2 linked regions of the Xenopus tropicalis genome follow. The protein of the gene in region 2 interacts with the protein of the main gene of each other region in a pairwise test. Links are inferred from orthologs where the notes say so. Each region holds a gene or a part of one and is shown on either strand. Other genes may lie near its edges. The genes, in order: lmnb2 and tmpo.

Evidence for each region.
Region 1: the proteins of tmpo (region 2) and lmnb2 interact in a two-hybrid assay, tested with the Homo sapiens proteins (2 studies listed by BioGRID, with this or other methods). The link is inferred for Xenopus tropicalis from reciprocal best matches to the Homo sapiens genes TMPO and LMNB2.

Annotation. Positions count from the first base shown.
Region 1 is NC_030677.2:92,888,723-92,892,544, forward strand, and holds part of lmnb2 (lamin-B2), read right to left. Parts: intron 2,703-3,822; coding exon 2,566-2,702; intron 1,127-2,565; coding exon 970-1,126; intron 1-969. UniProt on the Homo sapiens protein: Lamins are intermediate filament proteins that assemble into a filamentous meshwork, and which constitute the major components of the nuclear lamina, a fibrous layer on the nucleoplasmic side of the inner nuclear membrane.
Region 2 is NC_030679.2:51,508,377-51,512,814, reverse strand, and holds the start of tmpo (thymopoietin), read right to left. Parts: upstream 2,897-4,438; 5' UTR 2,824-2,896; coding exon 2,599-2,823; intron 1-2,598. UniProt on the Homo sapiens protein: May help direct the assembly of the nuclear lamina and thereby help maintain the structural organization of the nuclear envelope. Possible receptor for attachment of lamin filaments to the inner nuclear membrane.

The sequences.
Region 1 (3,822 bases), on a different chromosome or scaffold from region 2:
TAAGAGCTGAATGCAACGTTTAGAGACAAATATTATTTCCATCATAGAATTTCATTTCCTAGATAAACCTCTGAAGAAAGCGTATTTGCTTTTATTGTAGCAAAAACTAGCTAACCAGGTTAATAGTGGTAAATCCTGCTAAGCCATATCCCCTTGCTAATTTTTTGTAATGGGATTATAACACTATGGGGCACATTTATCAAAGTACGATCGAGTCCGAATACAGAAAACGTAGTTTTTCTAATTTATAGAACTGTGCGTATTTTTGCGTTTTTTTCATTAATTTGCATGACTTTTTTGTACCTTGCAACAAAATTTATGCAACAAAAACGTATTTGTCGCAACAAGTATTAAAGTTTTGGATTCATTAAAGTTTCGGTATAGTCACTTTCCTTGGGCCAGGTTGGAGCTGCAGAGTGCCATTGAGTCCTATGGGAGGCTTCCAAAATCATGCACAGAAGGTTCAAAGTCAGAAAGGTTTTCCCGCTGTTTATCATTCAGATACGAACATTTTGTGACTTTCGGACAGCCAATACGATATTATTGTGACTATTATGATTTTTTGTAAGCATTTTGAAGACATTTCCAATCGTCAGAAATTATCGTATCTAATCCAAATTTTACCCATTTCGAGATTCAAACTCGTACTTTGATGAATGTACCCCTAAGTGAAGGCAACAGGAAGGATAGGAGAGGCTATTCCAAGACAGGCAGTCAGTATAACCTTTATTGATGTTAAATGTTATGGGAAACAAAATCAAGGCATGTTGAACTGAAGACTATTTTCCCAACTATATAGAATCAAATCAAGTGAGAATGTAATAATGAAACAAATTAGCAAATAACTAAAATATTAAAAGCAAATATATGCCTACTTAAAAGAGTAATCATTCTGATCCCAGGCAGGGTGTGGGGTCTCAGTAAGTGAGTTTTAACCACATGCAAAAATGTCCACAAATGTCTTCATACCTTGGAAAGCTGGGCACGAAGATCTGCTACCTCTGCCTCCAGACTGCGCTTCTCACCCAGTGCAGTTCCAAGTTCTGCCTCACTACGGTGAAAGAGAGCTTCCAAATCTCTAATACGCCCCTGTGCCGTTGACAGGTCAGCATCTTTTTTTTTGTAGCTGTGGGAGTATGGAAGAAAGCTGTTAACAATACAGTATCTACCCGTTATACCAGATGTGGCCATTACTTCATATAATTTTAGTAAAAGCTTTAGTAAAGTGTATTGCTAATGTCAATACAGAGATTAGAGAGCTTTAATATGTTGAAATTAGAATGCTATATAACAATCTTATATAACTATGTAATTTGATTCAAACTGTGTGATTCAGCTGGCCAATTCAAACTGTTTGCAAAATGGCAACTTCCTAGGCTAATACTTTACATCTGAGAACAAGAGATTAGAGATCAAGAGAACAAGAGATACAAGATTAAAAGTATAAACACTGCCTGTAAAACAGCTGCAAAATCACAAGTCTTTTTTTCAGTATCTACTGAATGTGCCCCAGTCACTACTTTCTAAAAGTCAACATGGTCTCTTCTGCTAGACAGAGTAATGAGCAACCATATTTTTAAGTTTTAATTACAGATTTATAACTTTAAACATGATGGCTAACCTAGGAATTACACCTATCTGCTTTCAATATATAGTGCATCAATCTATTGGCACTAAAATACAAACTTTAATGCAACACGGGGCTGATTCTGGGCCTGCGGAAAAACATTGGCAGCCCTTCTGCTGGCATCAGCATCCCAGCTTACCTGCACCTGGAAGCAATGTGTCTACCCGGGTGCAGGCACACAGCAGATATCGGCTCTAAATGCAAACTCTCACTTTTTTGCCAATATCCACTACATGTACCTGCACCCGGGCCTACACAACGCTTCCGGGTGCAGGCAAACGTAGGGGGCTGATGCCAGCAGAGGCGTTCAGAGGCCCCACGTGGCATCAGCCTAATGGGACACTAGGAAGATATGGACAGTGCAGACATTTAAACTATATTAGGATTTCATGGTGTGTGGCAGCAATCTCAGTTCATCTCTTTTCATATACTACAAAGCCTTTCCTGCTTGGTTCTATTCTCAAATCTACCACTAGGCATAATGCAGTGTAGACAATTTCTAAGCTAATGTTACCGACATTGACAGCAATAAATAAAGGCTGAAGCTTATTAATGCCCAAGTCTGGTTTCTGTAGGAGCCAAGGCAATGCAAAGGAAAGCATTGTCCCTTTCATAAAAAATAAAGGCTTACCTTTACACCACTTTCATTTTATTAAATATCTATATGCAAAGCAACTATCAAGTGAGAAAGTGTTCACATGATCATAAGCAATAGTGATAAACCCTAGAAAGTGAAAAAAGAAAACTCACTCTAGGATCAAAATATGCTATTTTATGAACAGGAAATTCTTCAGCACTGATTAGAAGTAAGCACCGATTTTAAATGCTGAATTGGTAAGCCATAAAACTGAATTTTGAGCTGCAGAAAAAATGATAATTAAAAAATAAAAATACCAATTGCAGATTGTATAATATAACATAGTATTTTTCCATCTTACTTTTTTGTGAGCTCATCAAGATCTGATCGGAATTTTCCCAACTCTATTTGCAAACGGGCTCTCTCTCTGGCTGTTTCATCCAAAACCTTACGAGCATCAGCAAGCTCTGATTCGTACAAGTTCTTTATGCCACTAACCTGAAATATAATAAATTAAAAACTTTGCGAAACTCACTTGGATAAGTGAACTTTTATTAGGCACAGGTTTGAGAATGTTTACAGGTGTCAAAAATTTAGACTACAGAATTAAAAAGGAAGAAAAGCGATTCATTTTTAGATCTTCACTGTAAACTAGAATACGTTACATTTTTAATCCAATGATGTATTTTTTTAAGGCATGTACCCAGGCACAATTAGATTTGCTTAGATAATGTACTGCATTTATTTGGGCGTTTGCTAGTACTTTACAAAACCATACTTTAATATTTAGAATTCACTTGGATATCGGTTTTTCCAATGTTGTATTATCTGTCAGGTTGTTTTGGAATGCATAAAACAAGCTCATTGTTGTTCTGCTTACAGGGGCCAAAGAATCAATCCAATCCTGCCAACAGCCAGATAGCAACTGTGCAGCTGTTGGGAAGCCCCATATACAGAAACTTACCAAACTCAAATGTGTGTGTAAATATTTGTATTACATAATTTACCTTGAGCCACTATTTTGTAATAGTCTGTGTGCACCATCAGAGATCACCTGACAGGAAATGATGTACCAGGAAGAAGTGTAGATGTAAAAATTCTGAGATTATATTGGCTGATGTAATTTAGCATGTATGTGTGCCTTTTATTATTTTAATGCTTTATTAAAAAGTAACTTCTAAAACGCTGCGATTCTCCACATCTCCTCCTAGGCTTCAGTCAGTTGTTGCTGCTGATTTTTTAGCCTGACTTTTAATGTTTATCTTCATCTAAATTCCATCAACTTAGGCTGCAAGGGGGGGGGGGCGGCATGTGGACTTCAATTTAAGATTAAGGAATGTAGCGAAGACAGAGAACTGTTAGGGCTGTGACAGACGGGGAGATTAGTCGCTGCACGACAAATCTCCCTTGTTGCAGGCGACTAATCTCCCCAAAATGCCATCCCACCGGCTAGAATGTAAATCGCCGGTGGGATGGCATACGCGGCGCAGCAATTTGCCGAAATCGCCCAAGTTGCCTTGATCGGAAACTTCACGTATGCCATCCCACCGGTGATTTATATACTAGCCGGTGGGATGGCATTTCGGGGAGATTAGTCGCTTGCAACAAGGGAGATTTG
Region 2 (4,438 bases):
GCAGATAATTCTGTCCAATAAATTAAGATACATTACAAATTAGATTTTATATCATGATTACAACATACAGCTTTTTGATTTATATCAAATGTATGTTTACTATGGCTTTATCACCTTTTTAGCTCTAAAGGTCCCCATACACGGACCAATAGTAGCTGCCGATATCGGTCCCTTGGACCAATTCGGCAGCTAATCGGCCCGTGTATGGGCACTCCCGACGGGCCTGCCCGACCGATATCTGGCCTGAAATCAGCCAGATCTCGATCGGCCAGGTTAGAAAATCTAGTTGGATCGGGGACCACATCGGATCGTTGATGTGGCCCCCGGACTGACTTTGTCTATGCCCGCCATTATAATTCGTTTGTTGGCCCCAGGGCCAAATGATCGAATTACCCTGGATTCTCCCGATATCGCCCACCCGTAGGTGGGGGATATCGGGAGAAGATCTGTTCGCTTGGCGACATCGGGCCAAAAATAATGAGGGTTTTTATAAAGACTGGGCAAATTTGCACCTGGGCAGTAACCTATAGTAAACAATCAGTTATTAGCTTTTTTTCATCCAGCAACAAATTCAGCAATAAAAGCAAATACCTGATTGGTTGCCATGGTTACTGCCCAGGTGCAAATTTGCCCAGTCATTATAAATTACCCCTATTGTGCTTTTGACTGCTGGGTCACCTCCATACTACAGGTCTGAGGCACTGCACCCAGACTATTGGAACAGAGTGGTGAATGGCCATGCGAGCATATTTTTTTTTATGAACAGTTACAGAAGGGCTCGCCTTCAGTGAAGGATCAGGGACAAGGCACTCGGGCCAACCTTGCAAAGTGGTGAGCGTAGTTTTTTTGAAGAGTCTCATTTTAAATTGGTTTTGACAATTTACCAGAAAAAAAAGTACTCAATAGTGGTTGGAGCAGAATATATATTTGTTGTACCCTGTGTAAATGCACATCAAGTTTCAATATGATAAGTGAAGTTTGACTTCACAGTTTTAATACATATTAACCCAGTTTTTCAGTATTCAAACTATCACAACATACAATTATAAGCGAACAAAAAACCCACATTTCTACAAATACGTTTCACATAAGACATTATCAGATCACTAACAACATAAATCCCATGTACCAGGATAAAAGTTTGAAGTACCCCATTCTTTGATAAGCTTATTTGCCTCATTATGGTGCTCAGAACATTGTATACATCTACACTAATGCCAACCATACATGACACTTTACATGAGACTGGCCAGTTTGTCAAAGTATTAGTGTCAGTACTGAGTGCATATTTAAAGAAGTGTCTGGCTTCATTTCGCGATTGTTCTTATCAATAGACATTTGATAAGATCAGGACACTAAACATATATAACTGTTTTATAAGAAACCAGTATGTGCCTGATTATTTAGGCTATGGACGTACATGTCTGACAAGCACCGGACACTGTTAAAACAACCAGAGACATGAGTACCCCTCTGTACATGCCAATGCTATATTGAGTTCCTCTGCCTTTAATATTTCATCCACTGTTTAACTGTTAATAATGAAAGAAAATGCACTTCTTTAAGCACCATATACAGCAACATTTGTTTGTTGATAGTCAGGCTGTTTAGAGTGAAGACACATGGAGCTACTAGTAGCAGCTACTTAAATAGACAATGCTGATCATTTACTGATAATTGTTTCAACATGTGTTTTAGCAGAGGCAATTCTCAGTATAATCCATGGCAGGGGATTTTTTGGCGTTTAGTAGCAGTGAAAAAGTAGCTGCTACTAGTAACTCAGTGTGTCTTCACCCTTATATCCCTTGCAAAACCAACTGTGCCCTCTGAAACAATGTAACAAACTAGGTGATACAGACCTGGGGAACTAGCTTTGGCTACACCGTTTCAAGCCAGATAAAAAATATATATCTTTTTAACTTCCAAGGGTACCGATTATTGATGCGACTAAGGATACCTGGCACAATATTGCAGCAGCGCAGAAATGAGTTGCATATAGAGACAGTGATATAAAGGTTGTCTTAGATAAAGGAAACGCGTTCCAAATCATAACACAGCCACTTCATTTATTAGGATGATGACTTCACGGGAAGGTTTTGGCATAAAAACTACCCGGGTGGAAAAAAGCGGGAAGAATAAAGAGATGTGTGGGCAGTAGGGGGCGCTCGGTCACGGCAGGCGGCGGGAAACCCAATCCGGGGATTCTCATTAGCTTGATTGTAAACTAAACATTACCTCGGCCACAAAATAAAATGGCAATCTGGCCATTTACTCGCCCGAACAAACCCCTCTAAAGTGCAGTCCTTCCTCCCTGCTTGGCGTTACAGCTTCTAACAGCTTGCTGCGAATGATGGGAATAGCGCCCAGCACCTAGCCTGAGACACTTGATAGAAGCCAAACTGTATGCCGGCTAACAGAACTGCGAGCTCCAGCCCCATTTATTTACCAAGAGGCAGCCATTGTGCCTAGCGCACCTGTCCCTCTTGCGGCCCCTGAGGCTTTGGAACAGATTCAGTGATAGAGTTGTACAGGTGATAGAGTTGCAGAAGTGCCAGAGCGGTCACACGGGGCACAATGGGCTTCACTTTAGCTTCTTACCCTTCCCGGGGGGCGGCCTCTGCCTCTCACAGGGGTGGCCTCCCTCTCCTCGTCACTGGAGAAGTCTGGGGTGCTGCGGTTCTGGGAGGTGAGGTGCTGGAGGTACAGTTGCACGTACACATCTTTCCGCTGCTCCCCGCTCGGCAAAGTCACGTTGTTCGCCACCAACTCGCTCTTGAGCTTATCCTTAGTGAGTACTGACGGGTCTTGCAGAAACTCTGGCATGGTGCAGCGCTGCCGTCTCCCCTCAATGTAGAACCCCTATCACGGCGAACACAAAACAATGAGAGGAGCTTCCAATGAACAGGATGAGAGGGGGGAATCAAAACGGAAACAGTCTGCTCAGTGGCAACGGTCGCACTACATTCGACGATGTAGCGCAACAAAGCGCGCCGCCATTGGCTGGCGGACAAACCAAAAGAACAAATCATTGGCTGGGGACTTTCTTTAAAAAACAATCGACAGCGCGGCCTTTCACAGCACAGTGTGAGCTGAGATAGGGTGGGGGGGATTGAGGGCCCGCCTTTATGTGAATGGCTCCGCTAGGTGCTTCCTAAGCACCATTACAACTCGTATAGGCAACTAGCTCATGTTAACGAGCGTTAGGGCAGTGTTTGCCATGTTTTATTTACATGTTTAGAAACATTTATTTCATGTTTAACTTGTTTTTAAAGACCTAGAGGTGGGCGTTGAAAGTACGCTTTCTGTATTTGCTGATGGTACTAAATTCCTATGTAGGATGCTGTCACTTTGCAGGTAGATGTGACAGATTTGGAAAACAGGATCAAAATGGAAAACCAGGTTCAGTGCTGATAAATGCAAAGTTATGCACTTGGTACATAGTGTAGTTGTGTGTTGGTAGATTCTTTATAGAGAAGGTGATTTTTTTAAAGGAGATAAAGTGCTGTCTTGCATTAAAAAGGCATTTACTCAAAGTATTAAACATTATTTTGCCTCTTTATAGGTTTCCTAGGCCATACCTTGAATATGCATGAAAAGGCATTTTATTGGCAATAGATTAGCCACAAGTGTGCAAGCTAGAACACTGTATTTATTCTGCAGAAAGCTACAGTACCTGAGTAAACAGCTCTAGAACCCTAGAACCCCCCTCTGTTTTAGCTTGGTCTTAACTTCTGTGTTGCAGCTTTGGCTGCTGGTAACAGCACAGTTGGAGTGAGAGATAATAGGAGGGGAACAGGAGAAGAGAATAGGAGAAATAAGAAAATTGAGCAGACTCAGGCCGTGGCCTGAAGGATTTTTCTGAGAGAAGGAAGTCTGATACTGAAGAATGTTTGTACACAAAAGTAGAAATTAAATCCTCTGTTTCTTTTGATAGAGGACTCAGTGTAGCTTTTCTGTGGCTGCATTTACATAGACCTTGCTTAATTAGCTGTTGCCTTTCATTCTCCTTAGAGAAGGATATTAATGAGCTGGAGAGAGTGCAAGGATGTGCAACTAAACTGGTAAAAGGGTTGAAAGATTTAAACTATGAGGTTAGACTATCAAGGTAGGATTAGTGTTCTCTGGAAAAAAGGCACTTGCAAGGGGACATGATTACTCTATACAAGTACATTAGAGGGGATTATAGACAGATAGCAAGGGGATCTTTTTTTCCCATAAAAACAATCAATGCACCAGAAGCCACCTGTTATATTAGAGGAACAAAACTTTCATTTGAAGCAGTGTAGGTGGGTTTCACGGTGAGGGCAGTGATGTTGTAATGGCAGATTCTGTTAATGCCTTTAAGAGGGGCTTGGATGATTTCTTGAACAAGCATAGTATCCAAAGCTATTGTGATACTAAAATCTACAAATATTTAGATATTGGTAAATATAGATAT